Linked DNA regions of Mus musculus. The protein of the gene in region 1 purifies or fractionates together with the protein of each later gene. This does not show direct contact. Links are inferred from orthologs where the notes say so. Each region holds a gene or a part of one and is shown in the gene's direction. Other genes may lie near its edges. The genes, in order: Pld1 and Arf1.

Region 1 (3,817 bases):
CCAAGCCTGGCCTTCAGCTCTTGACCCTCCTTCCTCTGCCTCCCCAGGGTTGAGGAAATAGGTGTGAGCCGCTATGCTGCCTCAAGGCTTCTTGTGTTTTATGTTGGACAGTGGTCAAGGGCTGGTGAGGTGGTTCAGTAGGTGCTGCCAGGGCTGAGAACCTTAGTTTGATCTCTGAAGCCAGGTCTGGGGGATGATGGAGGAGAACTGACTCCTGACAACTTTCCTCTGAGCTCCACCTGAGTGCTGTGACACCCATGTGCTCACAGACACATGGGCACAAAATAGGTCAATACATGGAAAGAAACACACAAGAAAGATCATTCGAGGCAATCTATTAATTTAATAACTCTCCCGTAGCCCTTTCACTTGGGCTTTTGGCTTGCATCTGTCTGTTAGGTCTCAAACCCAGGACAAATGGCCGAGGTGCCGATTTAACACATCAAGGTGGACCCGGCTGCCAGGTTCTCCCAGCATCCCTCGGTCCCTACCTGTTATAGGGTATGATTGGCATATTGCCCATCCCTCTCACCCCCATCCTAGCATCTCCAGCCCAAGGCTCTGCTTCCTTTCTCCAGAGCCCTTCCCTATATAATCCAGCCATCTGGTTACCCTCCCCTTTACTCTCCTGGCTATGCCCTCTCCCCTCCTCTTCTCCTCACATGGCCCAGATAAAAGTCAACTTCACTCTGCTCTCCCAGACGCCCCTGCCTTTGACTCTGCTCTCTCCCATGTCTACAACAAGCCTTCCCTTCCCCATACCGAGGAGTGGTCATGCCCTTCCCTTTTATTTCTTCTGCTTATTTGTTTTTCATTCCACATCCATTCTAACTGAAGGCCATTTATAAGTCAAGAGAAGCTGTACTTTTCCTAAGACGTCTTCAGCAAGAAAATATGAATGCTACTTATCTCTTAAAAGGAAACAAATGTCCCAACATTGTGATCTATAAGTGCGTGAGATCTATATTCAGGTGCACTGCTGAGAGAAAATGCTGCTGGCAAATTTTATCTCTGATTTGTTCTTGAGACCCCACTCTCCAGTCCCCTGCAGCCTATCTTTAGTCCTCTGGGTGTTACCTTCAGTCCCTAAATTCCACCCCGGCCTCTGAGACTTCATCCTATCTGTTCTTTCTGAATACAAAAAAAAAAAAAAAAAAAAAGAAAAAAAGAAAAAAAAAGAAAAAAAAGAATTAGCATAAACTATCTCTGCAGAGCGAAGCTGGTCTCCCAGAAACACATTGGATCAAAAAACAGTCTGGGTAGTTGTTTGCTTATTGCTGCTTGGATTTCATACAAGTCAGGTCTAGTAGTTGGAGAACGGTGACCTTTGTACTTCAGGTTAAGAACTAGTCAGGACTAGCTACCATTGGCCTCTGCCTCCACACACACCCAGAATCATAACCTTTGGTCAGCAGTCAGTTGACCCCCCCCCCCACTTCCCAGCCTCCCATCCCCCACCCTCAGTATCTTGGAGGCTGCCGGGCAGCTGTGGTTTCGATTTTGCTGTACTCAGTTTACACCACCCTGGTGTCCACACTGGTGTCTGCCTGTCTGCCTGTGCTCTGGACTCTTTTCTTTCCTTCTCCCCCTGTCTCTGTCTCCCCTGCCCTTCCCCTTTTCAGAGATGGTCTCATGTAGCCCCAATTAGCCCCTACATTTTGGACATATTATTGCTATGTAGCTGAGGCTGACCTTGAACTCCACCTCAGGAGTGCTGAGATTAGAAACCCATGTCTCCACATGGGGTTTATTCACTGCAGAGCTTTTGGTTGCTTGAGCTCAGCTGTAGGCTTTCCCTACAGCGTTAGGCTCACACTTCTGTGATGAGCCACGTCTCTAAGATGTCCCTTTGCCCCTTATTCTGCCTGGCATCTTTTAGAGGGCAAGGTATACTGCATAGGGCTTAAATGCACAGACTCTGGAGCTGAACTGCAGGGCTGAGTTTGTGTCTTTGCTTTGAAATCTTGAACAGGAAACTGAACCTCGTGGTTTCTGTACCCTCAGACACTGGGTCTACAAGTGCTTTACATTAGTCTGACAAGATCACAATCCTGTTATACACCCTATACTCAGCTGGGCAGCAGTCTTCCCTGTGTCCTTGAACCCTGGCAGGTGCCTCATGCAGGGGCTTGTGTAGACAAGGCTAGACCTTGGATTTTCTTTTCTTCCATTTTTTTTAATGAAGGGATGATATCATGCTCTGTGCCATTTGTTTAGGTAAAAAGGGCTAAGAAGGTGGTCCCATAGGCCCTTGTTCCTGCCTCCTCTCCATCTGCAATGTGTCTTTGCTGTCCATGTGTGACCAGGGCTCTCAGTGCTTGTCAGGGTCTCACTAACTGCTTCCTCCATTTCTAGTGTGCAAGTGCGTGTGGGCATGCGTATGCATAGAGAAAAAGGATTTACAGAGTTTGTTTGTATGATACAAAGTTTATTTATGTAATTTATTATGTGAACATTTAAGGCAATACCTCTATATTTGGTTGCTTTTTTAAAAAAAGTGTTACCTACAATGGTTCACAAGTGCCAGCTCCCTAGCAGAGACACTTCTGTCAGTGAATGGCTACTGGGATAGAGGGAGCTAACTTCCTTTGAGTGGGTAGCCTCTGGTATATCCACCATGCTCCTGTGGGTGCCCTGTCACTTGAGTATATGGGTAGCACAAATTGGACTGGGTAGGTTATTTTTAAAAATGAGGAAGGGAGAAGAGGGGAGGTTGGGGGTGGGAATTGGTTTTAGGAGGAATGAGGGGGAGGGGCAAGGATGAGTATGATCATAACACAGTATATGAAGTTCTAAGCAAATGACTAAAGATAGCGTATCTTTAAAATGCCAAACACCAACACAAAATAAATAGACTGATAGTACTTGAATGTTACTTAGCAATTAGCTGATGTTTGCTATGGGGAAATTTCAGAACTTTCCCTATCTGAGATAAAACCTTTTCTTTTTAAACATCTGTCACCGTAGGTGCCAAGTATCAACCTGTACACGATCGAGTTAACGCACGGGGAATTCACATGGCAAGTTAAGAGGAAATTCAAGCACTTCCAAGAGTTTCACAGAGAGCTGCTCAAGTACAAAGCCTTCATCCGGATCCCCATCCCCACTAAAAGGTAACACGGCAGAACTGACGTAAACTTACCTCCGTTATGTGGACGGAAGACACATTTCATTTGTTTCACAGGCTACCAATCCCATTTTAGTTAGCTATTTTCAATTGCATAGCTCTTTTAAAAATAAGCCACCTCAGCTGCTGTGTACAGCAAACTGTGATCCCCAGCACTTGAGAGAATCAGGAGTTCAAGGCTAGTCTTGACTATATTTGAGCTGGAGGCTAGCCTGGGCTACATGAGAATGTTTTAAACATTGACAGGATATACTACTAATATCAATTATAATACTGAAATAATACTGAATGTTGTAAAAATAAAATAATATAATACTAAAATATCAATACTAAACCATGGCATGAAAGATAATATAAAATACTTTAAGAATAGTCTAATCGCTTTTTGTATTGTGTTTGTGTGTATTTTAGACATACATTTAGAAGACAAAATGTCAAAGAAGAACCCCGAGAGATGCCCAGTCTGCCCCGTTCATCAGAAAACGCAATCCAGGAAGAGCAGTTCTTTGGCAGGAGGGTGAGTCTTTATTCTGCTGCTTTGTGAAAGTTTAACTGCACTTATTCTTCTGTGTGTGTGTGTGTGTACGTGCATGTGCGCATGCGCGCGCACGTGTAGTGATCAGAAGACCACTTTGTGGAATCAGTTTTTTCCTTCCATATTTTTATAGCTTCCCAAGATCAAACCCAAGT
Region 2 (3,817 bases), on another chromosome or scaffold:
ACTGTATCTGTTGTTGCCAAGTTGCCCACTGTATGATGTTCTGTTAAGGTAGCACTACGAGACAATTTATAGGGAAACTTTGTCATTCTTTTTCCTATGGGTCAGTAGCCTTGGATAATACCTAGGATTGACAACTCTTTCTGAAGGCACTGTGGCCTTCTATTTGCTTTTCTTATTAAGAGTTAACAATGAGCATTTGACAAAGCAAGCAGTAAATCCATTTGGATGAGAAGTGAAGATCAAAGTGGCCACCAGATGTTGAGACCAGACCTAGGGAAACCTTACTATCCTTCCCAGAAGCTCTTAACATTTGATAGGCCCTGGTACATTGGTACCAACTAAATTGCCTAGCGTTTCTTTTCTTCCAGTGGGCCTTACCTACTAAGTATGCATAGGCCCTTGCAGGGACACAGCTCACATTTGCCTGTCATCCTCTTATAGGAATGTGCTGCCAATGGTTTACTGTTTGAGTCTCTTTCTTCTTGCGACTTGAGATAGAACACTGTCTTAACATCTGTCTCCCATGACCTGGGCAGACAGAAATGCCTGGAGAGATGGCATCACAGTTCTTATGGGCTTGTCTAGTCTCGCTGTCACCAGGGGCTGGTAGAACATTTGGCTTGTAGTGTTGAGCATAGAGTGTGACTATTTCTTTAGTTGAAAATTGTGGATACTTTGACACTTTGAAGTAAGAATAGAGATGTAAGGTGGTTTTTTCTGATTTTGTGAAGAGCTCTGTTAGGTTTTAAGAGGCCCTGTGTCAGCCAGGCAGTGGTGGTGCATGCCTTTAATCCCAGCACTTGGGAGGCAGAGGCAGGTGGATTTCTGAGTTCCAGGACAGCCAGGGCTATACAGAGAAACCCTGTCTTAAAAAACCAAAAACCAAAACAAACCCCAAAAAAGGCCCTTTCTCTCAAAACTCTTTTTAGTGCCAGCTCCCGAGTGTGAGCATACTTGATTGTAGTTAGATGTCCCTTCATTCTGACAAGTGATTAGACTTGGGAGACAAGGGGTTGTTGTGGTATCTGCGTCTTCCTAAACTGATATGTGTGACCTTGGTGAGCGTAGGGAGTCTGGTGGGCAGGGGGCAGGGTTCTTTGCTGCCACCTGGGACCTAGGATTGAATTGTCTCCCATCCTCCCATGAAATTTCAGGAGGGATATGAGGACATGGCTTAGGGCAGGGGACTCCTACATAGGTGTCTCTGACCTGCCACAGGGCCCACACTGGCAGCACATAACAGTACTTGAACCACTTTTCTTTCCCAGGTCTTTGGCCAGTATCGATTCCACCTGTCCACAAACATGGGGAATATCTTTGCAAACCTCTTCAAGGGCCTTTTTGGCAAAAAAGAAATGCGCATTCTCATGGTGGGCCTGGATGCTGCAGGGAAGACAACAATTCTATACAAACTTAAGCTGGGCGAAATTGTGACCACCATTCCCACCATTGGTGAGAAGCTGGGCCCAGGGCCAGGGTGGGGGTTGGGTGTGGGGATCCAAAATACAGAGGCCCTCAGCTGCAGTCCTGCCCCCCAGGTTTCAATGTGGAGACTGTTGAATACAAGAATATCAGCTTCACCGTGTGGGATGTGGGCGGCCAGGACAAGATCCGGCCGCTGTGGCGCCACTACTTCCAGAACACCCAAGGTAAGCAGCCAGTCCTTGTCCTAGATTCCTCATATTTGCCTCAAAGGGATACAGTTGGTTCACTGAGCCTTGTGGTCTTTGCCATTTCAGGGCATGAAGCCACACCAAACATCACGGCCAGTGGAAGGACTGGATCTAGAACCTGTGGGGTCTGGTGGGGAGTGTTCAGTATGTGCACTAATGTGGCCATGTTTCAGGCTTGATCTTCGTAGTGGACAGCAATGACAGAGAGCGTGTGAACGAGGCCCGTGAAGAGCTCATGAGGATGCTAGCTGAAGATGAGCTCCGAGATGCTGTTCTCTTGGTGTTTGCCAACAAGCAGGTAGGCACCAGCAAGGTCCTTCCCTGAAGGAAAACCTGTATCAGGGAAGAAAGAGGAGGGGTGAAAGGCTACCCAGGGTTATTGGCTGTTTGTGGTCCCTGCCACTAATTCTTCCTTTTCCTCAGGACCTCCCCAATGCCATGAATGCGGCCGAAATCACAGACAAGCTGGGGCTGCACTCTCTACGCCACAGGAACTGGTACATTCAGGCCACCTGTGCCACCAGCGGGGACGGGCTCTATGAAGGACTAGATTGGCTGTCTAATCAGCTCCGGAACCAGAAGTGAACCAGACCCCTCCCTCCCCCTCACTTCCTCTTCTCCGCCCTCAGCTTTCCTCTCATGTGGCAAACGTGCGACTCTGTGGTCCTGAGTGCCAGAAGCTGTCTCCATGGGTTGGTCACAGTGTGCATCGCACCGTGCTGTACATGTGCAGACGCAGCCTGCAGCCAGGTTTTTATTTAATGTAAATAGTTTCTGTTTCCACTGAGGCAGTTTCTGGTACTCCTATGCAATATTACTTAGCTTTTTTATTGTAAAAAGAGAATCAACTCAACTGTCAGTACTGAGAAGGGATTTGGGTGTAGGGGCACCTGGCCTCCGGGAGCCATTGGGCTGTAGACTGGTGTCGGTATCCATTTGGTGGTTGGTTTTTAACCCAAACTCAGTGCATTTTTTAAAAATAGTTAAAAATACAGGACAAGAACACTTGAACACACAGAACGGAGACTATGCCTAGTGTAGGTTTTGCAGTTAATGGCCTGAATGCTAGATATCAGATCACCTGTTTCGCTGTGGGAACAGGAGAGAAGGTGATGAACAAACCACCATCCGCTGCATGGTCACAGTAGAGCCCCCGTGACTCGCCTGTCTTTGGGTCACCTGCATTCCATAGCATTGTGCTTGTACTTGTGCTCACACGGTTACCTAGGGTAGGCTGGGAGCCATTGTGGGGTGCAGGGCCTGGCTTGTACTTGGTGTGTGCAAGGCCCAATGGCAGCCTGCATACCCAGCCTACTCTTGGGCCCACTTGGACGCGCTGGCAGGAGGCCTGGGTCTCACCAGCAGGAGTGCGTGCAAGGTGGGAGGGTCGGTCCATTACAGACCCACATCCTGGAGCACCCCCATCTCCATGTGTGAAGTAGCTTCCTCCCTCAGCCTGCAAGGGTCCGATTTGCCATCGAAAGACGACCTCTACTTTTTTCTTTTGTATTTTGATAAACACTGAAGAAGCTGGAGCTGTTAAATTTATCTTGGGGAAATCTCAGAACTGGTTTATTTGGTGTCGTGGAACCTCTTACCGCTTTCAATACACAATTAGTAATCAACTGTTTTGTATACTTGTTTTCAGTTTTCATTTCGACAAGCACTGTAATTATAGCTGTTAGAATAAAGTCTCTTAACTATTTGATGGGCTTGTGTGTCAGTGCCACCACTGCCAGGCTTCTTCCTGAGATTGAGAGCCCTTTTCATGCTATAGGAAACAGGGAAACAGGTGCCCTTTAAGCCCTAGTGTAATCTGGTAAGATCTGGATGTCTTGACGTGCTTCTTTCCTTTCCTTTCTGTGACAGACTGGGGCAGCTGGCCTTGGAGTGCTTATCTCTGGGTAGGTGTGACCACTAGAAGATCCAAAGTTTATCATCCTTCCGAATAGGCCCCTGCCTAAGTGGACTGACCTTCACCCCCTTGAGGTCTTAGATAATTAGTCTTCTCTCATGCTTAGGTGGCTACCTGCAGGGCACAGGTCTTCATAGAAGCAACAGCATGAGTCTCAGGACATTTTGGGGTCTGCCCAGAAGTATGCATTCACAGCACAATAGCTTTTACAATCAGAACTTTCTATACT

The links.
Region 2: the proteins of Pld1 (region 1) and Arf1 purify together in Homo sapiens (affinity purification with western blotting; 3 studies listed by BioGRID, with this or other methods). This does not show direct contact. The link is inferred for Mus musculus from reciprocal best matches to the Homo sapiens genes PLD1 and ARF1.

Annotation. Positions count from the first base shown.
Region 1 is NC_000069.6:28,025,629-28,029,445, forward strand, and holds part of Pld1 (phospholipase D1), read left to right. Parts: intron 1-2,967; coding exon 2,968-3,113; intron 3,114-3,538; coding exon 3,539-3,644; intron 3,645-3,817. UniProt on the Homo sapiens protein: Function as phospholipase selective for phosphatidylcholine. Implicated as a critical step in numerous cellular pathways, including signal transduction, membrane trafficking, and the regulation of mitosis.
Region 2 is NC_000077.6:59,210,975-59,214,791, reverse strand, and holds the end of Arf1 (ADP-ribosylation factor 1), read left to right. Parts: intron 1-1,268; 5' UTR 1,269-1,304; coding exon 1,305-1,452; intron 1,453-1,538; coding exon 1,539-1,649; intron 1,650-1,846; coding exon 1,847-1,971; intron 1,972-2,096; coding exon 2,097-2,258; 3' UTR 2,259-3,380; downstream 3,381-3,817. UniProt on the Homo sapiens protein: Small GTPase involved in protein trafficking between different compartments. Modulates vesicle budding and uncoating within the Golgi complex. In its GTP-bound form, triggers the recruitment of coatomer proteins to the Golgi membrane.